3 linked regions of the Anolis sagrei genome follow. The protein of the gene in region 1 purifies or fractionates together with the protein of each later gene. This does not show direct contact. Links are inferred from orthologs where the notes say so. Each region holds a gene or a part of one and is shown in the gene's direction. Other genes may lie near its edges.

Region 1 (10,096 bases):
CCCCCCCGCCGCCGCACACACACGCAACCCCACTCCCCCTGCCGCCGCACACACACACGCAACCCCAGGCTCCATCACTCCCCCCGCCGCCGCACACACACACGCAACCCCAAGCTCCATCACTCCCCCCACCGCCGCACACACACATGCAACCCCAGGCTCCATCACTCCCCCCGCCGCCGCACACACACACACAACCCCACGCTCCATCACTCCCCTGCCCCAATCTTACCTCCTTTTACTTCAGGCCACCTCCAAACCCCACCCCGCCCCTTCCCGCCCTGTCAAAATCTAGGAAAGACAGGAAGGAAGGAAAGAAGGAAGAAAGAGAAAGGGAGGTGAAGAAAAAGGGGGAAGGAAGGAAAGTTAGAGGAAGAAGAAAAGGAAAGAAAAGGAAAGATGGAAGGAAAGAAAAGAGAGACAGCAGAAGAGAAAGAAAAAGGGGGAAGGAAGGAAAGAGATAGAGAAAGAAGAGGAGAAGGAAAGATGGGAAGGAAGGAAGGAAGGAGGGAGGGAGGGAGGGAGGGAGGGAAAGAAGGAGAGAAAGAGGGAAGATTGGCCACAGCAACACATGGCGGGTAAAGGTTGTTATTTCTATTATTGTTATTATGCTATTGTTCCTATGAGACCCTTTTAGGGGGAATGGGAGAGGTGTCAGGTCCCGGAGGCAATGCATTGCATTATTGTTATTGTTATGATGGTGGTGAAATAAAAGGAAATAAAAAGTGAAAGAAGGAAGCAAACAGGGAGGGAAGAAAGGCAAAGGAAGAAAGGGGGAGGGAATGAAGGAAAGAGAGAAGGATGAAACCAAGTAGTGAAAGAAGGAAAGAAAGAAAGAGGTAGAGAAGGAAGAAAGGAGAGAAAGGGTGAGGAAAAGGGGGAAGGAATAGGTAGGGACCTCTCTTTCATAATAGTCCAGATATCTACCTCAACTTTGATAAGTTTTACTATAGGCCACAGCAACGCGTGGCAGGGCACAGCTAGTAATTCTATAACAACCAACATGGATGACTGGGTGAGTGATGTAAGTCATCTAACAACCACCCATAGTGTACTTCCTCTTAGACATACCATGGCATCTCTAATTTCATAACTGAACTGGAAGGAAAGTATCTGGAGGAGGAATGCACACATTGAACTCAAAGTAAATCCCATTCAGTTCAATGGGACTGGCTTCTCAGTTGGCTAGGATTGCACTTTTAAGTGTCACTCTCTGAAGCAAAGTCTGAACTCCATCATAAGCAGCGCAAACAGCCGTGGGACAAAAGACATTATAGAATTGCCCGTTGCATTGACTCGGCAATTTCTTCAGCAGCAAAAATGTACTTCCTCTGCAGTTTGCAATCCCTGACAGCTGACCTATTACTGGCTTGCAGAGGAAGTGTTGGCAGCAACTTCAACTGCAAATGTAGGAAGGGATGGGGTGGGGGCGGGGCGGGGGGAAACCACACAAGAAGTATGCACAGGCAAAATACCAGCAGCAGCAGTAGCATCCAACGTTGTACTTTTATTTGCTGCAGATGTAAAGCCCTTCTTAGTTTCAAAGAAACTGGAAGCGTCTGAAGTCTTCTGGAGGAGAACATTCTTGGATTTTAACCCAAAGCTGCTTTTTAAAAATCTTGCTTCTGCCAGTCTTACTTCTGAGTAAACCTTCAAAATGACATGCTCAAAGCTTCTGCTCATTTTCAAAGAACTGAGTCTCTATCAGATGATATCAAGATTTTCACCCTCTGTGTATATGTGCCTTCAACTGCCTGTCAATTTATGGCAACCCCATGAATTTCATAAGGTTTTCTGTTGGTCACTATAAAGTGTTCTGGATTAAAGATATAGTAGAATCTCTCTTATCCAACATAAACGGGCCAGCAGAACATTGGATAAGTGAAAATGTTGGATAATAAGGAGGGATTAAGGAAAAGCCTATTAAATATCAAATTGTGCAATGATTTTAAAAATTAAGAACCAAAACATCATGTTTTACAACAAATTGACAGAAAAAGCAGTTCAATACATGGTAACATTATGTAGTAATTACTGTATTTAGGACATTAGCACCAAAACAGACAAGGGTTCTTTCTTTCTGCGACTCTGGACATTATTCCACAGGTAAATATACACTCCACTTCCCGCACCTGTGGATCCAAGCAGGAGGCAGACACTTTTGGATAATACAGAATGTTGGATAAGTGAAGGTTGGATAAGCAAGACTCTACTGTAGCTGCAGTGCATAGCACCCATATTTTCTGATTTGTAAGGGCCATAAGGAAGGCTGAGCAAAGGAAGGTTGACACTTTTGAACTGTGGTGTTGGAGGAAAATTCTGAGAGTGCCTTGGACCACAAGAAGATCAAACCAGTCCATACTCCAGGAAACTCCCTCACTGAAGGGAAGGATATTAGAGGCAAAGTTTGACCACATAATGAGAAGACAGGAAAGCTTGGAAAAATTAATGATGCTGGAGAAAATTGAAGGACAAAGGAAGAAGGTCCAACCAAGGGCAAGGTGGTTGTTATCCTTGAAGTGACTGGCTTGGCCTTGAAGGAGCTGGGGGTGGCCACCTCCGACAGGGAGCTTTGGCGTGGACTGGTCCATGAGGTCACGAAGAGTTGTAAATGACTGAACGAATAAACAACAAAAAGAGCTTATAAAAATGTCCAGTTTTTCCAAAGATAGGTAGTGCTTTACAAAAAGAAATTCTTAACTATACCTTGTTCCAAAGATAACCATTGATTTCAATTGTGCTTTCTGCCTAGTTAGGATATGCAGCCCTAACATCTTACTAATATAAAAGAATTCATCAACAACAAATAATAAGAACTACAGCCATGGCCTGGAATATATTAGGTGTGGGAGGAACATCTTTGATGAGCGATATAAAGGCTCCTTAAGATGAAAATGTTTTTTCTGGCAGGAGCCCCAAACCGAGATGTTGACGTGCCTGTTTCAGTACAAAGAGCAAGAAAACTGGAGCTAGCATCAGACGCCAAGACACATCTGAGCTGGGAACATGGGAGCTGATTCAAAACGTAGGTCAGCGTACTGATGAACCCAAAACAGGAGATCTCTATGACGGAAATGGAAAGGGAAGTAAGGAGATGCAACAAGAAGAATGTATAAGCATTATCTATTTCATCTGCGGTAATCAAATGAGACAAGGTAAGTGCATGCAGCAATGATGATGATGAAACATTCAAAAGCAACAGAGTTATCTGCATGCACTTTTTGGGTACTGTGGAGCACTTTTATGAGTCATTAACACACCGAGTCATTAACACGCTGATTCTGGATTATAATTCCTCAAATCTCACAATTTATTTGGTTGTTGGCCAAGGGCATTTGGAGAGTTTCAGTTTATAAAGAGACCACACAAGGACTTCAGGAGTTCAAATCTCCTTGCCCATGGAAACCTATTGGGTGATTTTGGGCAAGCCACACTCTCTCAACCTCAGAAGAAGGCAGTGACAAATTTCCTCTGAGCAAACTCACCCACCCACCCCCAAAAACACACAATAAGTTTGCCATAGGGTCGCCATTAGTTTTTCATGTCAGGAGTCACTTAAGAAACTGCCCAGGGGACGCTCGGATGTTTTTGATGTTTTACCCATCCTTGTGAGAGGCTTCTCTCGTGTCCCCATATGGAAGTGTTTCTCAACCTGGGGGTCGGGACCCCGGGGGGGGGGTCGCAAGGGGGTGTCAGAGGGGTCACCAAAAAACATCAGAAAACACAGTATTTTCTGTTGGTCATGGGGGTTCTGTTTGGGAAATTTGACCCAAATCTATCGTTTGTGGGATTCAGAATTCCCTTTGATTGCAGGTAAACTATAAATCCCAGCAACTACAACTCCCAAATGTCAAGGTCTATTTTCTCTAAATAGTGTTCACATTTGGGTATATTGAATATTTGTGCCAAGTTTGGTTCAGATCCATCATTGTTTGATTCCACAGTGTTCTTTGGATATAGGTGAACTACAATTCCAAAACTCAAGGTCAATGCCCATCAAGCTCTTGTAGTATTTTATGTTAGTCATGGAAGTTCTGTGTGCCAAGATTGGTTCAATTCCATCATTGGTGGAGTACAAAATGCTCTTTGATTGTAGGTTAACTATAAATCCCAGCAACTACAACTCCCAAATGACAAAAATCAACTCCCCCCCCCCCCCGAAGTCCACCAGTATTCAAATTGGGGTGTATCGGGTATTTGTGTCAAATTTGGTCCAGTGAATGAGAATACACCTTGCATATCAGGAATTTACGTTACAATTCACAATATTCGCAAAATTACAGTTAGAAAGTAGCAATGAAAATAATTTTATGATTGGGGGCCACCACAACAAGAGGAACTGTATTAAGGGGTCATGGCATTAGGAAGGTTGGGAGCCCCTGGTGGCGCAGTGGGTTAAACTCCTGTGCTGGCAGGACTGAAGACCGACAGGTCGCAGGGTCGAATCCAGGGAGAGGCGGATGAGCTCCCTCTATCAGCTCCAGCTCCTCATGCGGGGACATGAGAGAAGCCTCCCCCAAGGATGATAAAAACATCAAATCATCCAGGCGTCCCCTGGGCAACGTCCTTGCAGACGGCCAATTCTCTCACACCAGGAGTCACTCCTGACACGACTAAAAAAAAATTAGGAAGGTTGAGAACCACTGCCGTATGGGGAGCTGGAGCTGACAGAAGGAGCTCATCCGAGCGGCTTAAGGAGCTGGGCATGTTTAGCCTGAAGAAGAGAAGGCTGAGAGGGGATATGATAGCCATGTATAAATATGTGAGAGGAAGCCACAGGGAGGAGGGAGTAAGCTTGTTTTCTGCTTCCCTGGAGACTAGGACACTATGGAACAATGGCTTCAAACTACAGGAAAGAAGATTCCATCTGAACACGAGGAAGAACTTCCTGACTGTGAGAGCCGTTCAGCAGTGGAACTCTCTGCCCCGGAGTGTGGTGGAGGCTCCTTCTTTGGAAGCTTTTAAACAGAGGCTGGATGGCCATCTGTCAGGGGTGATTTGAATGCAATATTCCTGCTCCTTGGCAGAAGGGGGTTGGACTGGATGGCCCATGAGGTCTCTTCCAACTCTTTGATTCTATGATTCATCCACGCTCCCCCCGGGATTCGAACCTGTGACCTGTCGGTCTTCAGTCCTGCAGGCACAAGAGTTTGACCCACTGCGCCAAGAGGGGGTCTATGGTGAGAGGGAAGAGCCGGCACATTCTTTTTGTCACGCATGCTCAGAGCGAGCACGGGAAGAGACTTCAAATCCCCTTAGTGCGCATGCTCAGAGCGAGGACGGGAGGAGACTTCAAATCCCCTTAGTGCGCATGCTCGTAGCGAGCTAGAGCCCGTCTGTGAAAATAAGAGTGTAGGGTAGTTAGTGGAAGAAACTGCACACTCCTGTTGCGCATGCGTTAAAAGGGAAGAGGGACTTAGCGCGCATGCTCACACAAAACGAAGTGTTCCTGCTCAGAGGGCGGGGAGGGAGGGTGGGTGAGTGAGTGGGCGGGGCGAAGGGAGGGAGGGAGGAGAGGGGGCGTGGCCTGTGCGGGGAGGAGGCGGAGGCGGCGCGCGGGGCCATATTCGGCGCGCGGCGGCGCAGGCGGCCAGGCCAGGATGCGCTTGGCATTGTCCTGCAGTGGCAGAAGCAGCAGCAATCGCTGCGGCACCCACACCGCCGCTGCCCTCTTGCCGCAATAGCGCCTGCCCTTCCCCTCCTTCCTTCAATCCTTCCTTCCCCTTCCGCCTTGGCTTCCTCCTCCTCCTGCTGCTCTCACCATGGCGGCCCCCAGCAACATCGTGTCCGTCATGGCGAGCAAGACCAAGACCAAGAAGAAGCACTTCGTGGCCCAGAAAGTCAAGCTCTTCCGGGCCAGCGACCCGCTCCTCAGCGTCCTCATGTGGGGGGTGAACCACTCGGTAAGACGGGGAAGGAAGGAAGGAGGGAGGGAGGGTTGCTGAAGGAAGAGGGACCTCTCTCTCTCATGACAGATCTGTGTCTTGGGAGGATTCTTGAAGGGCGAGTCAGCACAGAGGTGGTTTAACGTGGTTGAGCCTTGACAGGATGAGTGGGATCAATGTCATGGAGTTGGAAGAGGCCCCAGAGGGCATACAGCCCACCCAACCCTGATCTGCCACCAAAACATTCCCGACAGATGGCCATCCCGCCTCTACTTTAAAGCATCTACACCAGGCCTGGGCAAACTTTGTCCCTCCAGGTGTTTGGACTTCCACAATCCCTAATTCATTTCAATTTACCCACTTTTGTTGGAAGAGACTACCAGAGGTCATCCAGCCCACTCTACCCTATTCTACCACGAAAACACTCTCAACAGATGGCCATCCAGCCTCTGTTTCAAAGCCTCTACACCAGGCTTGCGCAAACTTTAGCTGTTTTGGATTTCCACCATTCCTAATTCACATCAATTTACCCACTTCTGTTGGAAGGGACCCCCAGAGGTCATCCAGCCCACCCAACCCTGATCTCCCACCAAAATGCTCCTGACAGATGGCCATCCAGCCCCTGCTTCAAAACCTCTACACCAGGCTTGGGCAAACTTCAGGTGTTTTGGATTTCCACCATTCCTAGTTCACTTCAATTTACCCACTTCTGTTGGAAGGGACCCCCAAAAGTCATCCAGCCCACCCAACCCTGATCTCCCACCAAAACGCTCCTGACAGATGGCCATTCAGCCCCTGCTTCAAAACCTCTACACCAGGCCTAGGCAAACTTCATCTCTCCAGGTGTTTCGGACTTCCACAATTCCTAATTCACCTCAATTTACCCACTTCTGTTGGAAGAGACCCCCAGAGGCCATCCAGCCCACTCTACCACCAAAACACTCCCACCAAAACACTCCCTCTGCTTCAAAGCCTCTACACCAGTCCTGGGCAAACTTCATTTCGCCAGGTGTTTCTGGACTTCTACCATTCCTAATTCATTTCAATTTACTCACTTTTGTTGGAAGGGATCCCCAGAGGTCATCCAGCCCACCCAACCCTGATCTCCCACCAAAACGCTCCTGACAGATGGCCATCCAGCCCCTGCTTCAAAACCTCTACACCAGGCCTGGGCAAACTTCATCTCTCCAGGTGTTTGGAATTTCCACCATTCCTAATTCACTTCAATTTACCCACTTCTGTTGGAACAGACCCCCAGAGGCCATCCAGCCCACTCTACCCCATTCTATCTCCAAAACACTCCCGACAGATGGCCATCCAGCCTGTACTTAAAAGCCTCTACACCAGGACTTCCACCATTCCTAATTTTACTTCAATTTACCCACTTCTGCCAGTTCTCTTCATACCTCTGCAGGCTCGTCCTTATCTGAAATACTTGGGATTAGAAGCATTTTCGATTATTGTTGCTATTGTTGCATTTGTTTATACATACTCTACTTTTCTTGCTTTGTTTTCATAAAAGAGATTCACAAAGGCCATCCAGATCCAATCCCTTGATATTTGAGCCCTACAGTAGGCTGTTAGGAATTATGGGAGTTGAAGTCCAAAACACCTGGAGGGCCAAAGTTTGCCCATGCCCATTATAAGTTTTTTTAAATTTTGGAATGCCCCCCCCCCATTGGCATATATGGACAACATCTTGGAGATAACAACAAAAACAACAGTAATAGTAATACTTTATTTATGTCCTTTTCTTCCGGCCCAGACCCTTTAAATAGTTCTTTAATAGGCCCTGGACATTAGTGGCCCTTGGCCCCCCAGTATGACCATTGCTGAGACCCGCTCCTGCACTGTAGCATTCTGTCGGCCCCATGCCTCCCTTTTCTCTGCCCTAGTTTCAGCCTAGCCCAGTGGTTCTCAACCTGGGGTCCCCATAGCCTGACCAATAGCTTAAGCCTTTTATCTGAATTTTGGCCCCTAGTAGCTTACCTTGCACGAAAGAAAAGAGCAGAATTGATTTTTAAATTGGTTTTAATATATATGTTGTGTTAATAGTTTATGCTTATGTTCTATGTTTCACATTGTATGTGTTTAGTATTTTGCATATGTGGAAACCGTTCTGAGTCCCCTAGGGGAGATAGGGCAGTATATAAATAAAGATTATTATTATTATTATTATTATTATTATTATTATTATTGTTATTGGTACCTCTGCAGGCCCATCACAGGTTGAATGTTTGTTATTTGAAATTTATTATTTTATTTATTTGCTATATTTATAAACCACTTTTCTCCCCCTTAAGGGAACTCAAAGCAGTTTCGAACATTATAAAAGCAAAATTCAATGCTGTACGTACATGTGAAAACCAAAAGATAATCGCAAGACCATAACATACAACTACAAATTAACCGTACCAAATTAAAATGTAAACATAAAATAATATTTAGACATAAAACATAAAAAATTAAACATTGGTAATACAATAACATTTATATTAAAAACCTACCGATAAAAAACACTATTTTAAAAACTGTTCGGCTGTTAGGAATTATGAGAGTTGAAGTCCAAAACACCTGGAGGGCCAAAGTTTGCCCATATCTGTATTAGAGGGGTTTTTTTTTATTTAGGAATCTCCCATTGGCATATATGGACAATATCTTGGAGATAATAATAATTATTATTTATAACCTGTCCCCTCTCTCTAAAGGGACTCAGAGATAGGATCCAACCAAGCCCAGAAACAAAATTAATTTTATGTTTCATACGCACCTTGTACACATAGCTTGAACGTAATTTAATACTTTTATGCATGAAATAAAGTTTGTGTATATTGAAAGCAAAGGTGTCACTACCTCATTCACCCCCTGTGGATGATTTCGGATTTTGAAGGGATGCTCAACCTGTACAAGCTTGGACAAGAGGCTTGGCACTCCCACCCGGGTGTGCACACACTGCTTTCCCCTCTTCCTCCCCAACACACGCCTTCTGTCTCATGTGTGCTTTCTTTTCTATAGAGTTCTGGCTGATTATTGGGCAGCGGGGGGTAGGTTCAGACATAAAAGTCTGAACAGAGGCTGGATGGCCATCTGTCGGGGGGTGCTTTGAATGTGATTTTCCTGCTCTTTGGCAGGAGGTTGGACTGGATGGCCCGCGAGGTCTCTTCCATCTCTGATTCTATAAGTTCCCCATCAAGGCACTGGTTAGTGTTGATGGATAAGAAAAGGGTGCAAATTATGAGTGTTTTGGTGTGGGATACATGTGCCCTTGGATACATAACTTCAGAGGTGATCATAGCAGAAGAAGGTGAGAAGTATTCTTTCTCTCTTATGTTCCCCTTTCTTTCATGTTGGGTTCTGTGAGTGCATTTTTCCTTTAGCGTTTAATGTTAGGAACTTGGTGATTGTTGAGTCTTGGTTATTAGCAATGATGACTAAATGGAGATGAATTTTCCTTAAATGCCAGACACAGACTATACACAACAGAGAAAGACTTTGCCAGTAGCATCTGACTGAAGGTATTTCACAGTGCTAGATGTGATAAACCTTAGTCGTATTATATAGCAAGCGCTTATCTTTACATCCTATTGTTTGGTACTTCTCTCTCCGAGACAGTGGGGCTGAGTAACTACAACAAATGCCATTCTTAATAGGATGTCTGGGATGTAGTTGACAGTGGGCAATACTAGATTAATGGAGGGAGCTGAGCATTTTACCCCAGAACTAATGGCTTTGCTGCTGTTCAGGCTGGATGCATTTTGCTGAGCAGTGGTTTAAAAAAAAACCGCAGGCTGCAGAGCAGCTAGAATGTCTTTATACTCACAGGGAAACCCCATCTTTCCCACCACCCTATAAAATAATGTATGTTGCATGCTTCAAAGACAGAACATTTAATGCTATCTGAGATGAAATATTGCCATAGTAGGAAAGCTGGGAGTGTGTTGCTGCCTTGAAATACTGCAGTCTCCTGGCCTTTAATGGTTAACAGCAGTTCATTTACCTGTGCAGTGTTAGGTTGGATCAGACTAAAGCAGGAATAGGCAAACTTCGGCCCTCCAGGCCCTACTGGCTGTTAGGAATTGTGGGAGTTGAAGTCCAAAACACTTGGAGGGGCGAAGTTTGCCCATACCTGGACTAAAGGGAAAATAATTGCAATTATTTGGTACTGCCTAGTTCTCGATTGTTACAGAAATGGATATTGTTATGATTATAGT
Region 2 (11,072 bases), on another chromosome or scaffold:
GGTTGGGAGTCACTGCATCATTGATTGCCATTAAGCATATATTATAGCAGCAATATGTATCAGTGTCTACTGTTCTTGGAGCGGCCTGCAACTACACCCAGTTCTGGCACAGAATTCACTGTGTGCCCTTCCTTTGACACTGCCAGATTTAATCTAAAATTAAAAATGATGTAGCTTATCCCTCTGTGTGGAATTAACTTCCCCTTCCTCGCTTTGTTGGTTCACACACCCACACAAACACTTACTACAGAGGATCCGTTCAATATAAATATTTGCAATCAGAATGAAGGGTGTTCAAATGAAAAGGTCAAACTGCTTTATATTTTTCCAAGCTCATGGATATTATGCCTTCAATAATGTGTAAACAATTCACAGTTTAAGCATGTTGCTATATAAATCCAAAAGCCACAAAACTATTTTTAATCTTATTTAGATGAGCTTACTACTTGCAATAACATAATGCGGGAATGTTTGGGCTGTTAGAAATGGACAGCAAATTCTTGGTTCATCTCATTTATTTTGATTGAATTTTTACTGTCAGCAAGAGGGAGTGGAGCCTGTGGGATTTCCTGCCTCTTTGTGCCAAAATAACTTGGCTACCTTCAGGAACTATGGCTCTTGATTTGTGGCCTTGGAAGGCTGCATTTGCTGATTTTCTTCAGGTAGCAAAACATCTTGGGTCAGGGCTGTATATCCTTAACTGATGGGCAGGAAACGTCCAATCTGCATGCAACCCCTGAGACTATTTGCTCTGGCCCTTCGTCTCCCAACCAAATACTTATCAAATACTGGTTCAGATCTGGTGCCTTTAACTTTATCAGATAAAGATTGAGAAAATTGCAACACACAAAAAGACCACAGGCATTAGTGATATGAACATTAGATATGTGCCAAATTCAAGATGCAGGATTACAACAGCAATCAAAGCAAAATAATTTGTACCCAAGTCCACTAGGCTATGGCTTCTCTGGGTGAAAGAGCACATTTGATGGCCCCCTTGGGCAACATTTTACAAGGGTTAAATGGCTGAGGCAGTTCACACTGGGAGGGCTAGGCCACAGATATTATAAGTCCTGGCTGTTCTCATCTGCTCCCCTTTTCAAGGCTCGATCAGGGGGACTGTTGCATTGTTGGAAATAGCAACCTTCTTCAAGTCTCCACTAGTTATTTGTTATGTAAATAATTTAGATTGCTTACTATATTGTATATGTGTGTATTGGTATGCAATTTTACTTTAACTCTTTGTTGTGGGAAGGGCTGCAGACCAAGTGAGCAGATCTGGGCTTGTTCAGGGCTCAGACTCCATTTTAGAACAGTATGCTTGGAAACTTCAGTAGGAACAGATGCATGCTTTCAGACTCCATTGGACTTTCAGACTAGACAGAGAGATGCTTTAGATGATAGACTGTTGATTCTAAGAATTAGGCCTGTGTTACCTACACAAACTACTTCAAATCCTATTTGTAACTGGATTGATAAGCAAAATTTGCTGAATACATGAAGTTTGTGAGTAAACCAACTATGTTACTTTTAAAGAAGTGTGCATATTTTGTCTCTTGAGAGCATGGTCTCTCGTTCCTCTGCCTTTTCCAAACCCAACTTGTACATCTGGCAACTCTTGCTACATGTATTGCTGGAGTCTACTATGTTACTTTTAAAGAAGTCTGCTTATTTTGTCTCTTGGTAGTATGATTTAAAGGCAAATATATATTTAAGGAAGAATAGATGTTTCTGGGCAACTACAAAAAAAAAAAAAACCACTTCTGAAACTCTGCTATATACATATATGTTTTGTGCATTGGCATATCTTTGTCCCTAACCGTTCAAAGAGATGTTTAGGATATCAGTTTAACAGCTGAGAAACCTAATTGCCTTGCATGAATGCCATTTTCCCAAAAGATTATGGCATCATTATTCAAATGGTTATGACTTCTAACAAGGTCATGCCTTTCCAAAGATCATAAAATCTCCAAAAGGGTAAGGAGATTTCAGTTTTCCAAAATGCATTACCCCACAGGATCCGTGGCCATGATTTGTGTGAATACTTTTTTGCCTGGCTTGTTGTGGTTGCAGGTTCAGCACAGGGATGAAAGTGAATGGTTGAATTGGTATCAAGGCAGGAAGTGGCAGGCAAATTGCTTTTTTGAACTAGGCCTTTCCCTCCTTGCTGCCTCTCCTTCCATCCCAGTGGATAATAGGGTTCTAACTACTTTGCCTTTGCCTTTCAGGCATTTGAATTTGAGTTTTTTCTGCCCTTGGCAATTTTGGCATGAATTTCTCAGCAGAGCATAATGCAGGAATGGGGAAAATCCACCTCATGGGACATATAAGGCCCACAAATTCATTTGGTCTGGCCTGGCACAGAGAAGGACACCTCTCCCAGTCCACTCTCTGTTAAGTTGTATTTCTGGCATTGCAGAGGGATTGGCTGGTGTCAAGATGTTATCGAGCAATTGAGAATGGCTATGGATAGTGAGATCCAAGCCACTGTGAGTTTAGCCTGGTGAGAAAATAAGCCAAAACTCCAGAATGAATCTCACCAAGTTGAAGCAGCTATAAGGCCGTGATTTACATACTGCTTTGTATCTCCTCTCTCTCTTTATGATTGGCTGCCTTTCTCCCGAGGGGGGGGGGGGGGTTAAACCCCCTTCCACATTCCATCATTGCCAAAAGGCAAAAACCCGCAAAACAGCAAGACTGCGAAAAGTGAACTGCAAAGTAGCGAGGGAACACTGTAGTGATATAATATACTAATATTGTGCTATGGTAATAAGTCAGAGCCCCCCATTGATTGTCTTTTTGGGCTCCTCCCTCACAAATACACTTTCCCCCCACTCCTATCTCATCCAGAGTTTTATCATTTTATCTTGTGTATTTGGCCTGCTCATTGTGTTTGACTTTCCATTATGTTACTTTGCATTGCTTATTTTATCTTTTTACATTATGTATTTTATCATGATGTAATTTTTTGTTGTTTTGTATTTTATTTTGCTGTATTGTATTTTTGGGTTTGGCCTCATGTGAGCTGCCCCGAGTCCCCTTTGGGGAGATGGTGGTGGGTATAAATAAAGTTTATTATTATTATTTAAAACACAACAAGATGAGTCCAAAGCAGACAAGGTCACTCTGCTGGCTGTTGTATTGGATCACACCTCGGACACTTCCCAAGTGTCTAGGACTGTGTGATGTATTGGTGAATAATGTGTGCACATCCCAGTAAGGTGGCCTTCTGCAGCTGGCAGGTGGTAATTTTGTCAGCACTTATTGTGTTTAAGTGCAGGCCAGGGTCTTTAGGCACTGCACCCAGTGTGCCGATCACCACTGGAACCACTTTGACTGGCTTATGCCAGTCTTTGCAGTTTGATCTTTAAATCCTCGCATCGTGTCAGCTTTTCCAGTTGTTTCTCTTCAATCCTGCTGTCAACTGGGATTGCAACATCGACAATCCATACTTTGTTTTTTTAACACAATTGTAAAGGTCAGGAGTATTATGCTCCAAAACTCTGTCTGTCTGAACCCGGAAGTCCCAGAGGAGTTTGGCGTGTTCATTCTCTGTAACTTTTTCCGGCTTGTGATCCCACTAGTTCTTTGTTGCAGGCATATGGTATTTGTGGCACAAGTTCCAATGAATCATCTGAGCAACGGTGAGGATGTGATCTATTGTTTCATCTGCTTCCTTGCAGAGTCTACATTTGGGATCTGTTGTCGACTTTTCAATTCTGGCTTTGATGGCATTGGTTCGAATGGCTTGTTCTTGGGCTGCCAGAATCAGACCCTCCATCTTCTTTTTCAAAGTTCCATTTGTGAGCCACAGCCATGTTTTTTCTTTGTCAGTTTGGCTCTCACTTTTTCCCAGGAACTGTCCATGGAGAGCCTTCTTTTGCCAGTTTTCTCTTCTGCTCTGGATTGTGTTTTTACAGTATTCACTCTTTCTCAAAACTCTATCTCAATTCGGAAGTCCCAGAGGAGTTTGATGTGTTAATTTTCTGTAACTTTTTCCTGCTTGTGATCCTACCAGTTCTTTGTCGCAGGCAGATGGTATTTGTGGCACAGGTTCCAGTGAATCATCTGAGCAATGGTGTTATGCCTCTGCTTGTAGTCTGTCTAAGATAATTATTATTACATATTACAAGTAATATGTAAATAATAATAATAAGTTTATTATTATTATTTACATATTACTTGTAAGCCACTTGGAGTCCCTTTCAAGGTGAGAAGGGTGGCATATAAATTTCGTAAATAAATAAAATTAATTAATGGAATAATTTTACAATTTATAATCCAAAGCCATGTCTGGGTTGTTGTAGGTTTTTTTGGGCTATATGGCCATGTTCTAGAAGCATCCTCTCCTGACTTTTCGCCTGCATCTATGGCAAGCATCCTGAGAGGTAGTGAGGTCTGTTGGAACTAGGAAAATGGGTTTACATATCTGTGGAATGACCAGGGTGAGACAAAGGACTTTTGTTTGCTGGGGCTAGATGTGAATGTTTCAGCTGATCACCTTGATTAGCATTCAATGGCTTAGAAGTGCCCGGGGGGAATCCCTTGCTGAGAGTGATTTTATGTGCCTGTTTGTTTCCCCTCTGTTGTTTTGCTGTTGTGATTTTTGAGTCCTTTAATACTGGTAGCCAGATTTTGTTCATTTTCATGGTTTCTTCCTTTCTGTTGAAATTGTCCACATGCTTGTGGACTTCAATGGCTTCTCTGTGTAGTCTGACATGGTGGTTGTGAGAGTGGTCCAGCATTTTTGTGTTCTCAAATAAAATGCTGTGTCCAGGTTGGTTCATCAGGTGCTCTGCTATGGCTGATTTCTCTGGCTGACGTAGTCTGCAGTGCCTTTCATGTTCCTTGATTCTTGTTTGGGTGATGCTGCTTTTGGTGTTCCCGATGTAGACTTGTCCACAGCTGCATGTGGACAAAGCACGTTGGGCGGGGACAAGAGACAGGGCCTTCTCAGTAGTGGCCCCTCGGCTATGGAACACACTCCCTAGGGAAATCTGATCTGCTCCCTCCCTCTTGACGTTTCGGAAGCAAGTTAAAACGTGGCTATTCGAGCAAGCGTTTACAAATACAGAGTAACTAATATAGGAAATCGAATGACCTGACAATGGAATTGGACAATGCTTGAGAATAATGAGACGCTGACGATGTTGCTTTTATTGCTTTTGTGATGTCTTATACTGTTCAATGTTTTTTATATCATGTGTTTTATGTATACTGATTTGTTGGAAACCGCCTTGAGACGGCAATTGGCTGAGAAAGGCGATATACAAATACAGTAAATAAAATAAATAAATAAATAAAGGTATACGGTAGACTCCTGCAGAAGTGTCCTTTGCTGAACGTAGCATTTGTTGGATTTTCTTTGTGGGTCAAAGCCAGGTCCTTTTTCTTTCTCTAGAAAGGAATTTATTTGGCTCGAAAAAGATCTTGGAGTCCTCGTGGACAACAAGTTAAACATGAGCCAACAATGTGATGTGGCGGCAAAAAAAGCCAATGGGATTTTGGCCTACATCAATAGGAGCATAGTGTCTAGATCTAGGGAAGTCATGCTACCCCTCTATTCTGCTTTGGTTAGACCACACCTGGAATATTGTGTCCAATTCTGGGCACCACAATTCAAGAGAGATATTGACAAGCTGGAATGTGTCCAGAGGAGGACAACTAAAATGATCAAGGGCCTGGAGAACAAGCCCTATGAGGAGCGGCTTAAGGAGCTGGGCATGTTTAGCCTGAAGAAGAGAAGGCTGAGAGGAGATATGATAGCCATGTATAAAATATGTGAGAGGAAGCCACAGGGAGGAGGGAGCAAGCTTGTTTGGGAAGCTTGCTTCCCTGGAGACTAGGACGCGGAACAATGACTTCAAACTACAAGAAAGGAGGTTCCATCTGAACATGAGGAAGAACTTCCTGACTGTGAGAGCCGTTCAGCAGTGGTACTCTCTGCCCCGGAGTGTGGTGGAGGCTCCTTCTTTGGAAGCTTTTAAACAGAGGCTGGACGGCCATCTGTCAGGGGTGATTTGAATGCAATATTCCTGCTTCTTGGCAGGGGGTTGGACTGGATGGCCCATGAGGTCTCTTCCAACTCTTTGATTCTATGATTCTATTTTGTTTATTCACATTATGCCATGAATTCATATGGAATTGGCTCCAGGAGCTCAGGCTCTTTGCCGCCGGTCCTCACAAAATGTGGTTGAGCAGGCTGTGTCCTTTTTTCATCCTCGGCTCCTTCCATTGCGTCACTTCTGCAACCAGCCGCCAGATGGCGCTGAGGTGCTCTCATCCAAGATGCTGCGCGACAGAGCTTTGCGTGCGACGTCGGGAGGGCCCGGCTTGGTCGGCGCGAGGGGGAAAGGGGGCGGGGCCCCGAGGCGTGCGTGGTGACGCGCGCGCCCCGCTTGGCCCCGCCCCTTGCCGGAGCGCGGCAGCGGTGGTTGCAGGCTGAGTGGTTGCTGACGGAGGAGGAGGAGGAGGAGGAGGAGGAGAGGCACCTGAGGCGTAGGATCCCTCTCTCGGGCCCTTTCCCCTTCAGGATGTCTTCGGCGCCGGACGCGGCCTCCGGGGACGAGCTGAAGCAAGCCAAGGAGATGGAGGACGCGGAGAAGTACTCCTTCATGTCCACGCTCACCAAGGCGCCCAAGAAGGTGAGCGAGCGAGGGAGGGAGGGAGGGCCGGGATCACCTCAGGCCTCAAAGTCGCGCCCTCTGGAGGGGCCAAGGAACCCCTTCGGGGCAGAGGAACTCTGCACGCGCTCAGGGGAGCACTTGCCTTGGTCAGCACTCGGGGAATAGATAGATAGATAGATAGATAGATAGATAGAGGAGGCGGAGGAGAAAGAGATTTCTGCCCTGTAGAAGGAAATAATGCGGGCTTGACGCCACTTGAACTGCTATGGAATCATGGGAGATGTAGTTTTACAAGTTCTTTAGGGAATCCTAAGAGACCACAATGGCCACAAGCCAACCCCCTGCCGTGTGGGAGAAGCACAATCAAAGCAACCCCGACAGATGGTCATGCAGCAAAGAAGTATCCTTTCATGTCCATACTCACCAAGGTGCCCAAGAAGATGAGGGCGCCTTGTACACTCTGAGCATGTACAGAGTTCCTCTCTCGTCCAGCCACATTTCAAAAGCCATCCAACCTCACTCTGAGACAGAGAGTTCCACTGCTGAACAGCTCTTACAGCAAGTGTGAGCAAACTTTGGCCCTCCGGGTGTTTTGGACTTCAACTCCCACAATTCCTAACAGCCGGTAGGCTCATGCCTGTCTTACACTCAGGAAGTTCTTCCTAATGTTCAGCTGGAATCTCCATTCCTGTCATTTGAATCTATTGCTCCTCTTTCTTTCAAATATTTGAACATGGTTATCCTGTCTCCTTTCAACCTTATCTTCCTCACCAAACTACAACTCCCAGAATTCCAGGGCAGTTTTTTTTTCGTGCCAGGAGCAACTTGCGAAACTGCAAGTCGCTTCTGGTGTGAAAGAATTGGCTGTGTGCAAGGATGTTGCCGAGGGGATGCTGGGATGTTTTACCATCCTGTGGGAGGCATCTTTCATGTCCCCACATGAGAAGCTGGAGCTGATAGACAGGAGCTCGCCCCGCTCCTTGGATCTGAACCGCTGACCTTTCGGTCAGCAGTCCTGCCGGCACAGGGGTTTAATCCATTGCTCCACCGGGGGTTCCTCTCCAGGGCAGTTAAAATGGGGACGCTGAGACATTTTACCATCCTGTGGGAAGCTTCTCTCATATTCTCACAAGAAGCTGGAGCTGACAGACAGGAGCTCACCCCACTCCTTGGATTCGAAACGCAGACCTTTCGGTCAGCAGTCCTGCCAGCACAGGGGTTTAATCCATTGCGCCACCAGGCAGTTAAAATTGTGTTAGACTGCATTAAGTTTACAGATAAATGTGGTGCTGTCTGTCAGGTGTTTTGGCTGAAAGCATCTACACTATAGAATAAATGCAGTTGGGCATTCCTTTAACGACCACAGCTTAGTACTATGGAGTCCTGCGAGTTGTAGTTTGGGAAGGCACTAGAAACATTTGGTAGAGAAGGCTAAATATCTTGTAAAACTACAAGCATTTAGCCATCGTAGTTAAAGTGGTGTCAAACTAAATTTCTTCTGAAGTGTAGATGCATCCCAAGAGAGGTGTTACAGCTCAAAGGGAGTCAGTGTTAAGACACACTTTCCTGGTGTGTCAGGTGAACGGTTCCTTGCTGCCCGAAGCTTAACTGACTCTTAAGATCATTATCCCTGTTCCTCTCTGTGGAAGGTATTTCCGCCTAGATGTCTGTAAAGAGGCCTGGCTAGATGTGATCCAAGCCTTGTAGCTGTCCTGGGTTATGACGATTTCCCTTGATTCATGCCACAGGCTAGGAAGAATGTCGAGGCCAGTGGGCACAGGTGATCCGGAAACCAGGTTTGCTTTCAGACTGCTCTGCAGAAGGAGGTCCTTCCCCTTCCCGTTGGTGCTCTGCCTGTTCTCAGGAATGTGGGTATTTGTGCTGTGGCATGTGAGCCTCTAAGGGCCATTATGCAAGCTATAAAAGTGGGTTGCAGGTTATTCCGTAGCAGTAAGTGTCTTGCGTCTATTGCAGAGACCTGGATGTGCTTCTCTATCAGTAGACGATTGATTTCACTTCTGAATAAGTCTACAAAGTCCCTTGCTTGACTTGTGTGAAGGCTGCACCTGCTAACAGCCTAAAAGGGATCTGTGCTATGAAGAACTTATTCTTAAATCTGCTCTAGCTGGTATCCTTAATCCAAGGTCTTCTCGGGAAAGGGTCTTCTCGGTGGTGGCCCCCCGACTCTGGAACTCACTTCCCAAGGACATCAGACATGGCCCAACTCTGGCAGTCTTTAGGAGGAGCCTGAAAACGTGGTTGTTCCAGTGTGCTTTCCCAGAATAAGGAAAACTCTCAGCAATATGCCCTCAAATGCACTTTACTATGGATTTAGGACTGACTGCGTTCCCTCATCTCTCTTTGAAAAATTTTTATCCCAGTTATATCCTACCTTGGTCATGCCCAGCATTATTTTTTAAATTTTAATTATCACATTTGGCCAAGCCATAGATTTTTTTTAAAATGCTTGTGTGTTACTGTTATTGTTTATTGTTTATTTTTTTGTTTATGTGATTTATATTAATTGTTTTGTATTTATTGTTTTTGTTATTGCTTCTGTTTACTGATGTACTTTGGGCTTGGCCTCATGTAAGCCGCACCGAGTCCCTTGGGGAGATGGTGGCGGGGTATAAATAAAATATTATTATTATTATTCTCTAGATTCTTCCAGTTCTATTTAACATAAATTAATAAACAATTGTTTCTTTGAGTTCTGCCTGGTTTGCTTTCCCCAAAATTACCTTTGTGAGGCCCCATAGTTGTAATAATTGTTGTTAGTGAATCTGAACTCAAGAATTCTGACTTCTAGCCAGATAGATGCAGTCAAAATTCTCCATTTAGATTTATCATAGGACCTCCTTCAGCACAAAGCATGGCGTTCTTTTCAGGTTTATCTTGTCTGGGTTCAAATTTAAATTCAGGTTCTGTAGTGTGCAGATCAAAAACTGAGACCTATTGGACGTTTTCTTGCGGTAATTACGTTTTCCTCTTGAATTGAATTGATGCCGAACTGAATTAGTTTAAACAGTTTATATTTTTTGAAGTCACATTTGAAAGCTTTTGTTGCTCTCTCAGGAGATCAGACATCTTCTGGGGACTGAGGAATTCTGAGCCCTTTCTGCATTATTTATCTAGTAAACTTATATGGACTGGAACTACTTCTACAATGTACCCAGGCAGACCTATAACATTCATTTTGTAAAAAAAAGAAAACAAAAGAAAAGTGAATTTCACCTTGAATATGTAACCAAAGTATTTTACTCTAGCCAGTGTAATTCTCATACAAATCAAGCAACAACAACATAAACACTTCCAACAGATAATTTTTCCAAATCATGGAAAATATACTTATGGAAGTAGCCTCACCAGCCATCTTTATCAGTCTTTATCAGTTAAAATGCAACTGGAATAAAGTTTAATCAACTTTTGAATACCCTCCCTTGTATTCATATGCATCCCAGTTTTTTATATACTTGGGTAGATTCTTTATTTTCAGTATTACCCATGTTGCCTTACTCATGTAAATTGACATCAGCAAGACTTGTCTGTCATCCCCCCCCCCAAAAAAAAAATCTCCAGAGGGATAGAGACTTCCACAACTGGTTTTACTGTGGACACTGTTCTAATTTCAAAAAAACAGTTTTTTAAATGTACAGGTTGATCGTAGGTGTATATTCTGCATTATGCAGGTGCTTGAGACTTAGTCTGCTTTTGAAATATTAGCTATATTAAAATTGATGTTTGAAATATTTTATGCTTTTCTTAAAATAAGAAAATTGAGATTTGAAAAGATAGGCTGCTCAAACAGCTAGAGGTGGGCTGTACTTAAGTTACTTAACCTAAGATGCAATTAGAATGCATGTTCTTACATATGCCAGATCCCCAAAATGTTTATCTGTGGTTTTTATATGTTACACAAAACTCTCAGTGTATGTAACATACATGCACGCACATGCTAATTTTGGTCTATTTTAGGTCCTTGGGTTTCAGGGTAAATTAGAGTTTAGAAAGATTGCTTTTTAGGACAAAAGTTACTAAGATCCATGAGTGGCAATGCTGCAGAAGAAGCATTGTTTCTGAGTTCTGGTTGAATTGGATTCTTGGCTGTGTGGCATAAATTATTTGAAAACCTTTTATTTTTATAATTGCAAAGTTTACACATTAGGCAGAGTTTAGTAGATCATGTTCTACCCTGCTAAGCATATTTCTTAGAATTTCCCTGTAAGGGAAAGACTGAAAATGTGTTTGTGAGCTGAAGTACTATTTCATTTAATGAAGCAGATGTGCTACTGGTAATTATTTCATTAATAGAATATTTAGCATCCGTAAGGAGAGGCGGGCAGGAAATAAAACTATTACTATTATTATCAATGCCAGAGACAAAAATAACATGGAAAGAGTAGGAATGGGTTCCTGCATCACACCATTTTTTTAAAGAAATCATAA
Region 3 (10,661 bases), on another chromosome or scaffold:
TGAAGCTAATCGATAATATCACTCCTCTCTTTGCTAAAGAGGATATAATGAACTTTTGATACTTTAAGTAATGAAAATAAGTGTAATGGAAATGAGAAATGAGATGTAATAATCATAACTATGCATATTGCCTTTTCTCTTGTCCCCTCCCCTCACCCCACACAAAATATTAGATATCAGTACAGACTTAGAATCATAGAATCATAGAATCAAAGAGTTGGAAGAGACCTCATGGGCCATCCAGTCCAACCCCCTGCCAAGAAGCAGGAATATTGCATTCAAATCACCCCTGACAGATGGCCATCCAGCCTCTGCTTAAAAGCTTCCAAAGAAGGAGCCTCCACCACACTCCGGGGCAAAGAGTTCCACTGCTGAACGGCTCTCACAGTCAGGAAGTTCTTCCTAATGTTCAGATGGAATCTCCTCTCTTGTAGTTTGAAGCCATTGTTCCTTGTCCTAGTCTCCAAGGAAGCAGAAAACAAGCTTGCTCCCTCCTCCCTGTGGCTTCCTCTCACATATTTATACATGGCTATCATATCTCCTCTCAGCCTTCTCTTCTTCAGGCTAAACATGCCCAGTTCCCTAAGCCGCTCCTCATAGGGCTTGTTCTCCAGACCCTTGATCATTTTAGTCGCCCTCCTCTGGACTTAACTGACTAACAATAACTCCAAAACCCCTACCTTCCCCCTTTCTTTCTTACTTGACTTTTACACCTTTCTCCCTCATAAGTATGTGTGGGGGAAAAAAGGGAAATGTCATGTCATGTCATATATATCTATGTTCGTTTGTGAGATTAACATAACTCAAAAACCACTGGAGGAATTGACACCAAATTTGGACACAAAACACCTCTCAGGCCAACAAGTGACCATCACTCATAAAAACACTGAAAAACAGCAGAAGAAACTTAAAAACCCCCAAAATAAAAAATACTTTACAACACATGTGCAAAACCACGTATATATATATATACACAAACACACATATACGCAAATATATACACAAATAAAACACATATACACAGACTGGGCCACAGCAACGTGTGGCAGGAGACAGCTATATATATATGTGTGTGTGTGTGAGATAGTGACTAGATCAAGGGAAGTTATAATCCCACTCTCTTCTGCTTTGGTCACCTGGAATCACATAATGTCCAGTTCTGGGCAAAACAATTCAAGGGAGAGATGGACAAAATGGAAAATGCCCAAAGAAGTGCCACCACAATGGTCAAAGGTGTGGAAACTATGCATCTACTAGCTTAAGTTCCCAGTGATGTCCAGGTTAGGTCTTTTAGAATAATAATAATAATAATAATAATAATAATAATAAAAAATAATAATAATAACAACAATAATAATACACAACATGACACGATACGAGGATTTAAAGATTGAACTGCAAAGACTCTGGCACAAGCGAGTAAAGGTGGTACCATCTGCGAGCTGCAGAAGGCCACCTTACTGGCATCTGCTCGCATTATCCGCCGATACATCACACAGCCCTAGACACTTGGAAAGGGTCCAATGTGTGATCCAATTCAATAGCCAGCAGAGTCTCTGTTGTGGACTCATCTTGTTGTGTTTCAAATATCAACAACAATGATATGAGGATTTAAAGATCGAACTGCCAAGACTCTGGCACAAACCAGTCACGGTGGTCCCAGTGGTGATCGGCACACTGGGTGCAGTGCCTAAAGACCTTGGCCTGCACTTAAACACAATTGGTGCTGATAAGATTACCATCTATCAGCTGCCGAAGGCCACCTTACTGGGATCTGCGCACATCATTCGCCGATCCATCACACAGTCCTAGACACTTGGGAAGGGTCCAACCTGTGATCCAATACAACAGCCAGCAGAGTGTCTGGACTCATCTTGTTGTGTTTCAGCTAATAATAATAATAATAATAATAAAGTTTCCTTTGAAGGGGGAAAGCAGGATATAATAATAATAATTATAGTATGATTTAAAGTCTCATTTTACCCGAGGGAATATTATTATTATTGTGGTTGTTGTTGTTATTATTAGTACAGAATCATAGAATCATAGAATCAACGAGTTGGAAGAGACCTCATGGGCCATCCAGTCCAACCCCATTCTGCCAAGAAGCAGGAATATTGCATTCAAATCACCCCTGACAGATGGCCATCCAGCCTCTGCTTAAAAGCTTCCAAAGAAGGAGCCTCCACCACACTCCGGGGCAGAGAGTTCCACTGCTGAACGGCTCTCACAGTCAGGAAGTTCTTCCTAATGTTCAGATGGAATCTCCTCTCTTGTAGTTTGAAGCCATTGTTCCGCGTCCTAGTCTCCAAGGAAGCAGAAAACAAGCTTGCTCCCTCCTCCCTGTGGCTTCCTCTCACATATTTATACATGGCTATCATATCTCCTCTCAGCCTTCTCTTCTTCAGGCTAAACATGCCCAGTTCCCTAAGCCGCTCCTCATAGGGCTTGTTCTCCAGACCCTTGATCATTTTAGTCACCCTCCTCTGGACACATTCCAGCTTGTCAATATCTCTCTTGAATTGTGGTCCCAGAATTGGACACAGTATTCCAGATGTGGTCTAACCAAAGCGGAATAGAGGGGTAGCATTACTTCCTTAGATCTAGACACTAGGCTCCTCTTGATGCAGGCCAAAATCCCACTGGCTTTTTTTGCTGCCACATCACATTGTTGGCTCATGTTTAACTTGTTGTCCACAAGGACTCCAAGATCTTTTTCACATGTACTGCTCTCGAGCCAGGCATCGTCCCCCATTCTGTATCTTTGCATTTCATTTTTCCTGCCAAAGTGGAGTATCTTGCATTTGTCACTGTTGAACTTCATTTTGTTAGTTTTGGCCCATCTCTCTAATCTGTAGTAATACAAATAACAGTCTCCTTTTGGGGGAGGAAAGTAGGATGATAATAATAGTAGTAGTAATGGTGTGTTGACACTGTAGAATGGATGCAGTATGAGACCCCTGTAACAGCTATGCCTTAATGCTATGGAACAGTGGGAGTTGTAGTTTTACAAGGTTTCTAGCCTCCGTCAAAGAGCGCCTGTGCCTCATCGAACTATATCTCCCAGAACTGCACAGCGTTGAGCCATGGCAGTTAAAGTGGTATCAAACTGCATTAATTCGACGGAGTGGATGCATTCTAAAATGAGGGGAAACACATGAAATAATGAGCTCTGTGGTCCTGATCCAAATCTTGCTCTTGCACCTCCAACACCTGCTTTAGTATTTCTAAAGGAGAAATACTAAAAGATGGTGTTTTTTCAGCCTTAAAGGCATCATACATATTTTTAAATGCATTTTCTCCAAACAACAACCCTGCAGAGTAGGTTACGTGGAGGGAAATACGTGGCCATGAGCGACATGGTTGCTGCTTTCCCTTACTTAAAAACGCCACTCTCCATTCTTTGCAAGGATTTGTGTTGTGATGCTTTTCATGATATTTGTATTGATTCCTTCTATACGCTGGTCTGGGTGCTTTTAAGGAAAGTGAAGCAGCAGCGACAACAACAACAGCAGCGGCAGAATATTGACCACAAAGTGTATTTGGACCCAAGCAGAACGTAATGATATATTGAATTTCAGCCCCGTGATTTAAACAAATGAGCAGGAGGTACCCCACGAAAGCTCCAAATCATGGAGTTAGAAGAGACTTCCAAAGGACATCCAGTCGCACCCCTTGTAGTGCAATACACAACCAAAACACTCCTGGCAGACAGCCATCAGCTTAGGAAAGAAACATCTTCCAAGCAGAGTGTAATCTGCCTTTTCAACAGTTTGGAACTAGGACCTTTTAAAGTGGTGGAGGTTTTTAAACAGAGGCTGGATGGACCTCTATTTGATATGTTTTGACTGTGTCTTCTTGCATGGCAGAAGGGGGTTGGACTAGATGGCTCCGAGAGTCTCTTCCGACTCTATGATTCTATATTTATGTTGTTGTTGTTGTTATGTGCCTTCGTTTCCCATGAACGGGAATCCTAAAATTGGTTCAAAAGACGTTTTGCCTTTCCCTTCTGAGGCTGAGAGAGTGTGACTCATTCAAGGTCACCAATTTGGTTTCCATTGTAGTAGAGTTGGGAGAGACCCCAAGGACCATCCAGTCCAACCAGGCAGGAAGACACAACCGAAGCCCTCCTGACTGATGCCCATCCAACCTCTGCTTATACAAACAACAATGGATCTGGACCAAACCTGTCACGCTTCCCCAACATATGCATCTTTGACAACCAGTGGGATTTGGAAGGAACAGACCTTGAATTTAGGGAGTTATAGTTCGTTTCCATCCAAAGGGTGCTGTGAACCCAAACGACGATGGATCTGGACCAGACTTGGCACACAGACCAACTTGGAATATGAGTGGGTTTGGAACAATGACAGGTGATGGTGGGAGTTGTAGTTTACTCATATTCTTATGCATTTACTAATGAGCCCATTCTTAAAAGTCAACAATTGATATTTTGTATGTTTATCATTATTATTATCATTATATCCTGCTTTCCTTCCTTAAAAGGGGACTCTTATTATTATTATTATTATTATTATTATTATTATTATTATTTCCTGCTTTCTTCCCCTAAAAGACTCTAAATATTATTATTTCCTGCTTCCCGCTTCAAATGAGACTCTTATTATTATTATTGTTGTTGTTACTATTATTGCAATTATTATTATGTGCTTTCTTCCCCTAAAAGAAGACTCTAGTCTAAATATTCTTCTTGGCACCACTTGAACTGCCAATGGCTCAAGGCTATAGGGGCCCTGCGAGTCGTAGTTCGACAAGGCCTTCTGTAGCAAACAGTGTAGAATTACAACTCCCAGGATGCCGTAGCCATGGGCCACTTTGACAAGCCTGTTCTCTTGCCACACAAAACTCTGGAAGCTGTAGTTCGCCAAGGGAACTTTCAGCCTTTTCTGTCAAATAATGGCTCCGTGCTCTTGGAGTGGTGGGAGTTGTAGTTCCTCCACGCCCTTTTAGCCTTCCCTGCAGAAATGGGTGCTGATCCCACACCAAACTACAACTCCCACCCTGCCACAAACACTTCAGCAAACTACAACTCCCAATCTGCCATGAACACTTAAGCAAACTACAGCTCTCATCTTTCCATGAACACCTCAACAAACTACAACTCTCATCCTTCCACAAATACCTCACCAAATTACACCTATCCTTCCATGAACAGTTCAGCAAGCTACAACTCCCATCCTTCTATGAATGCTTCAGCAACTACAACTCCCTTCCATGAGTACTTCAGCAAACTACAACTCCCATCCTTCCACAAATACCTCAGCAAACTACAACTCCCACCCATGAATTCTTCAGCAAACTACAACTCCCATCCTTCCATCAATTCATCATCAAACTACAACTCCCATCCCTCCATGAGTACTTCAGCAAACTACAACTCCCACCCTTCCACAAATACCTCATCAAACTACAACTCCTATCCTTCCATGAACTCTTCAGCAAACTACAACTCCCATCCTTCCACGAATACCTCAGCAAACTACAACTCCCATCCCTCCATGAGTGCTGCAGCAAACTACAACTCCCACCCTTCATTGAACACTTCAGCAAACTACAGCTCCCATCCTTCCATGCACACCTGAGCAAGCTACAACTCCCATCCTTCCATGAGTACAAACTACAACTCCCATCCTTCCATGTGTACTTTAGCAAACTACAACTCCTATAATTCCACAAATACCTCATCAAACTACAACTCCTACCCTTCCATAAACACTTCAGTAAACAAATCCCATCCTTCCACGAATACCTCGGCAAACCACAACTCTCACCCTTCAATGAATTCATCAAACTACAATTCCCATCCTTCCATGCACACCTGAGCAAGCTACAACTCCCATCCCTCCATGAGTACTTCAGTAAACTACAACTCCCATCTTTCCATGAGTACTTCAGCAAACTACAACTCCCATCCTTCCATGAATACCTCAGCAAACTACAACTCACATCCTTCCATGAGTACCTCAGCAAACTATAACTCCCAACCTTCCATGAGTACTTCAGCAAACTACAACTCCCATCCTTCCATGAGTACTTCAGCAAACTACAACTCCCATCCTTCCATGAATACCTCAGCAAACTACAACTCACATCATTCCACGAACGACTCAGCAAACTATAACTCCCATCCTTCCATGAGTACTCCCATAATTCCCTGAACACTTCTGTAAACTACAACTCCCATCCATACATGAGTTCTTCAGCAAACTATAACTCCCATCCTTCCATGAGTACCTCAGCAAGCTACAACTCACATCCTTCCATGAGTACCTCAGCAAACTACAACTCCCCTCCTTCCACGATCGACTCAGCAAACTATAACTCCCATCCTTCCATGAGTACTCCCATAATTCCACGAACACTTTAGCAAACTACAACTCCCATCCTTCCACGAACACCTCAGCAAACTACAACTCCCAAGGGGTCCCATGAGCAGGGGTGCCCAAAGTGGGTTAATTCTCCCCAGTGTAGACGGCCTCAGCTCCAGAGAGGCCTTGCCTTTGAGGGATGCTGGGAGTCGGAGTCCAAAACACAGGGAGGTGCTTTGAGGGAAAGGACTCCAACTCCCGTCGTGCCTCGGGGCGCGGGGACAGGGAGAGGGCGGGCTTGGCCGCAGTGACGTCGCCGCCGCCGTCCAATAAGAAGCCCGGCCTGGGCGGTGAGGTCACTGTGGGTGACGTCAGAGGAGAGAGAGAGAGAGAGGCAGCAGAAGAGCCTCGGCGGCGGGCGAAGCAGAAGCAGCCAGCAGAGAGCAGGAGCAGGAGCAGGAAAGCGGTGCGGAAGGGCGCAGGAAACAGACACACAACAAGAGGAGAACCAAAGAAATTAAGAGAGGGGAGGGGGTGCCAGGAAGAGCCGGCTCGGGAAGGGCGGGGCCTCGGAGGAAGGAGCAAAGGAGGCGGAGCCAAGGAGAGAGAGAGAGAGGATCCCACCGCGCAGGCGCAGGAAGCGGGGCTCCAGCGTTAAAGGGGTCCTGACAGGACAAGAGAGGCCGCCGGCCGGGGGGGCGCCATGTCCTCCCCCAGCCCTGGCAAGAGGCGGATGGACACCGACGTGGTCAAGCTGTATCCTTCGCCTGCGGGAAAACGAGGGGAACGGGGGAAGGAAGGGGGTGTTGTGGTTGTGGGAAACGGGGGGCACCCCAAAAGGCAGGGAAAGAGGGACGCTGGCCCTTTAAGAAGGCCAAGCAGGCAGGGAATTGAATTGGGGGATCCCTCTCAAGCTGGGGGTTGCTTACAGGGTCTTCCTCCTCAAGTGAAAGAAATTGAGAGATATTTTAGAAAGGATAGACCCCCCTCCCCCCCAAAAATAGAAAGACCCCTTCCCCATTGGAATGACTTGAGGAGTAAACAAAAAAAGGTTGCTGGCCCTTTAAGAAGGCCAAAGGGCCAAGGAATGGGGTATCCTCACAAGCTGGGGGTTGCTTACAGGGTCTTCCTCCTCAAGTCAAAGAAATTGAGAGATATTTTAGAAAGGATAGACCCCCCCTCCCCCCAAAAAATAGAAAGACCCCTTCCACATTGGAATGACTTGAGGAGTAAACAAAAAAAGGTTGCTGGCCCTTTAAGAAGGCCAAAGGGCCAAGGAATGGGGTATCCTCACAAGCTGGGGGTTGCTTACAGGGTCTTCCTCCTCAAGTCAAAGAAATTGAGAGATATTTTAGAAAGGATAGACCACCCCCCCCTTCCAAAAAGAGAGAGACACCCCTTCCCCATTGGAGTAAAAAAAGAGGATGCTGGCCCTTTAAGAAGGCCAAGGAGGCAGGGAATTGGGGGATCCCTCACAAGCTGGGGGTTGCTTACAGGGTCTTTCTCCTCAAGTCAAAGAAATTGAGAGATATTTTTAAAAGGATAGACCCCCCTCCCCCTAAAAAATAGAAAGACCCCTTCCCCATTGGAGTAAAAAAAGAGGATACTGGCCCTTTAAGAAGGCCAAGGAGGCAGGGAATTGGGGGGATCCCTCACAAGCTGGGGGTTGCTTACAGGGTCTTCCTCCTCAAGTCAAAGAAATTGAGAGATATTTTAGAAAGGATAGAGCCCCCCTCCCCAAAAAATAGAGACACCCCTTCCCAATTGGAGTAAAAAAAGAGGATACTGGCCCTTTAAGAAGGCCAAAGAGGCAGGGAATTGGGGGGGATCCCTCTCAAGCTGGGGGTTGCTTACAGGGTCCTTCTCACCAAGGCTTCCCTTTCAGAAAGGAATACAGATCCCCCCACAAAAAGAAAGACCCCTTCCCCATTGGAATAACTTGAGGAGTAAACAAAAAAAGGTTGCTGGCCCTTTAAGAAGGCCAAAGGGCCAAGGAATGGGGTATCCTCACAAGCTGGGGATTGCTTACAGGTCTTGCTCCTCAAGTCAAAGAAAATTAAGAGATATTTAAAAAAGGATAGACCACCCCCCCTCCAAAAAGAGAGAGAGACCCCTTCCCCATTGGAGTAAAAAAAGAGGATACTGGCCCTTTAAAAAGGTCAAGGAAAGCAAGGGTTGGTTACAGGGTCCTTCTCACCAAGGCTTCCCTTTGAGAAAGGAATACAGAGAGATTTGTAAAAGGACAGACCCCCCCTCCAAAAAAGAAAAAGAGAAAGACCCTTTCCCAATTGGAGTAAAAAAAGAGGATACTGGCCCTTTAAGAAGGCCAAGGAGCCAAGGAAAGGGAAGGCTTGTTTACACGGTCCTTCTCACCAAGTCTTCCCTTTGAGAAAGGAATTAGACAAACACCCCCCCCCCCCAAAAGAGAGAAAGACCCCTTCCCCATTGGTGTAAAAAAGAGGATATGGCCCTTTAAGAAGGCCAAGGAAAGGGAAGACTTGGTTACAGGGTCTTTCTCCTCAAGTCAAAGGAATTAGGGATATTTTAAAAAGGATAGACCCCCCTCCCCCCAAAAATAGAAAGACCCCTTCCCCATTGGAATAAAAAAAGAGGATACTGGCCCTTTAAGAAGGCCAGGGAATTGGGGGGATCCCTCACAAGCTGGGGGTTGCTTACAGGGTCCTTCTCACCAAGGCTTCCCTTTCAGAAAGGAATACAGATTCCCCCCCCCCCCCCCAAATAGAAAGACCCCTTCCCCATTGGAATGACTTGAGGAGTAAACAAAAAAAGGTTGCTGGCCCTTTAAGAAGGCCAAAGGGCCAAGGAATGGGGTATCCTCACAAGCTGGGGATTGCTTACAGGGTCTTGCTCCTTAAGTCAAAGAAATTAAGAGATATTTTAAAAAGGATAGACCCCCCTCCCTCCCCCCAATAGAAAGACCCCTTCCCCACTGGTGTAAAAGAGGATACTGGCTCTTTAAGAAGGCCAAGGAGGCAGGGAATTGGGGGATCCCTCACAAACTGGGGTTGCTTACAGGGTCTTTCTCCTCAAGTCAAAGAAATTGAGAGATATTTTTAAAAGGATAGACCCCCCCTCCCCCCAAAAATAGAAAGACCCCTTTCCCATTGGAGTAAAAAAAGGATACTGGCCCTTTAAGAAGGCCAAGAAAAGGGAAGGCTTGGTTACAGGGTCTTTCTCACCAAGTCTTCCCTTTGAGAAGGAAGATAGAAATATTTTTAAAAGGACAAACCTCCCCCCTCTAAAAATAAGAAAGATCCCTTCCCCATTGCAGTAAAAAAAGAGGATACTGCCCCTTTAAGAAGGCCAAGAAAAGGGAAGGCTTGCTTACAGGGTCCTTCTCTCCAAGTCTTCCCTTTGAGAAAGGAATACAGAGGGATTTGTAAAAGGACAGATCCCCCTCCTCAAAAGAAAGACCCCCTTCCCCATTGGTGTAAAAAAAGAGGATAGTGGCCCTTTAAGAAGACCTTTTCCCCATTGGAGTAAAAAAAGAGGATACTGGCCCTTTAAGAAGGCCAAGGGTCACAAGCTGAGGTTTGATTACAGGATCCTTCTCACAAAGTCTTCCCTTTCGGAAAGGAATACAGAGAGATTTGTAAAAGGACAGATCCCCCACTCCAAAAGAGAGAAAGACCCCTTCCCCATTGGTGTTAAAAAAGAGGATACTGGCCCTTTAAGAAGGCCAAGGAGCCAAGGAAAGGGAAGGCTTGTGTACAGGGTCCTTCTCTCCAAGTCTTCCCTTTGAGAGAGGAATACAGAGAGATTTGTAAAAGGACAGATCCCCCTCCTCAAAAGAAAGACCCCTTCTCCATTGGAGTAAAAAAGGAGGATACTGGCCCTTTAAGAAGACCCTTTCTCCATTGGAGTAAGAAAAGAGGATACTGGCCCTTTAAGAAGATCCCTTCCCCATTGGAGTAAAAAAAAAAGAAGAAGATACTGGCCCTTTAAGAAGTCAGGAAATGGGGCTGCTGAGCCTTTCAGAAAGTAAATTTAGAAAATTCCTCATTGAAATGACTTGAGGAGTAAAACAGAGAGTGCTGGCCCTTTAAGAAGGTAATTCTGAGTCAGGAAAGGCCAGGAAATGGGGGACACTGGCCCTTTAAGAAGGCCAAGGAAACAGGGAATTGAGGGATCCCTCACAAGCTGAGTCTTGATTACAGGGTCCTTCTCACCAAGGCTTCCCTTTCAGAAAGGAATACAGATCCCCCCTCAAAAAAAGAGAAAGACCCCTTCCCCATTGGAATGACTTGAGTAAAAAAAGAGGTTGCTGGCCCTTTAAGAAGGCCAAGGAGCCAAAAAATGGGGTATCCTCAC

The links.
Region 2: the proteins of PIP4K2A (region 1) and AHCYL1 purify together in Homo sapiens (co-immunoprecipitation; 3 studies listed by BioGRID and IntAct, counting the BioPlex papers as one, with this or other methods). This does not show direct contact. The link is inferred for Anolis sagrei from reciprocal best matches to the Homo sapiens genes PIP4K2A and AHCYL1.
Region 3: the proteins of PIP4K2A (region 1) and UBE2H purify together in Homo sapiens (affinity purification with mass spectrometry; 3 studies listed by BioGRID and IntAct, with this or other methods). This does not show direct contact. The link is inferred for Anolis sagrei from reciprocal best matches to the Homo sapiens genes PIP4K2A and UBE2H.

The regions. Positions count from the first base shown.
Region 1 is NC_090026.1:108,313,111-108,323,206, reverse strand, and holds the start of PIP4K2A (phosphatidylinositol 5-phosphate 4-kinase type-2 alpha), read left to right. Parts: upstream 1-5,543; 5' UTR 5,544-5,762; coding exon 5,763-5,903; intron 5,904-10,096. UniProt on the Homo sapiens protein: Catalyzes the phosphorylation of phosphatidylinositol 5-phosphate (PtdIns5P) on the fourth hydroxyl of the myo-inositol ring, to form phosphatidylinositol 4,5-bisphosphate (PtdIns(4,5)P2). Has both ATP- and GTP-dependent kinase activities.
Region 2 is NC_090024.1:183,979,197-183,990,268, reverse strand, and holds the start of AHCYL1 (S-adenosylhomocysteine hydrolase-like protein 1), read left to right. Parts: upstream 1-6,396; 5' UTR 6,397-6,533; coding exon 6,534-6,644; intron 6,645-11,072. UniProt on the Homo sapiens protein: Multifaceted cellular regulator which coordinates several essential cellular functions including regulation of epithelial HCO3(-) and fluid secretion, mRNA processing and DNA replication.
Region 3 is NC_090025.1:195,015,192-195,025,852, reverse strand, and holds the start of UBE2H (ubiquitin-conjugating enzyme E2 H), read left to right. Parts: upstream 1-6,681; 5' UTR 6,682-7,032; coding exon 7,033-7,085; intron 7,086-10,661. UniProt on the Homo sapiens protein: Accepts ubiquitin from the E1 complex and catalyzes its covalent attachment to other proteins. E2 ubiquitin conjugating enzyme that transfers ubiquitin to MAEA, a core component of the CTLH E3 ubiquitin-protein ligase complex.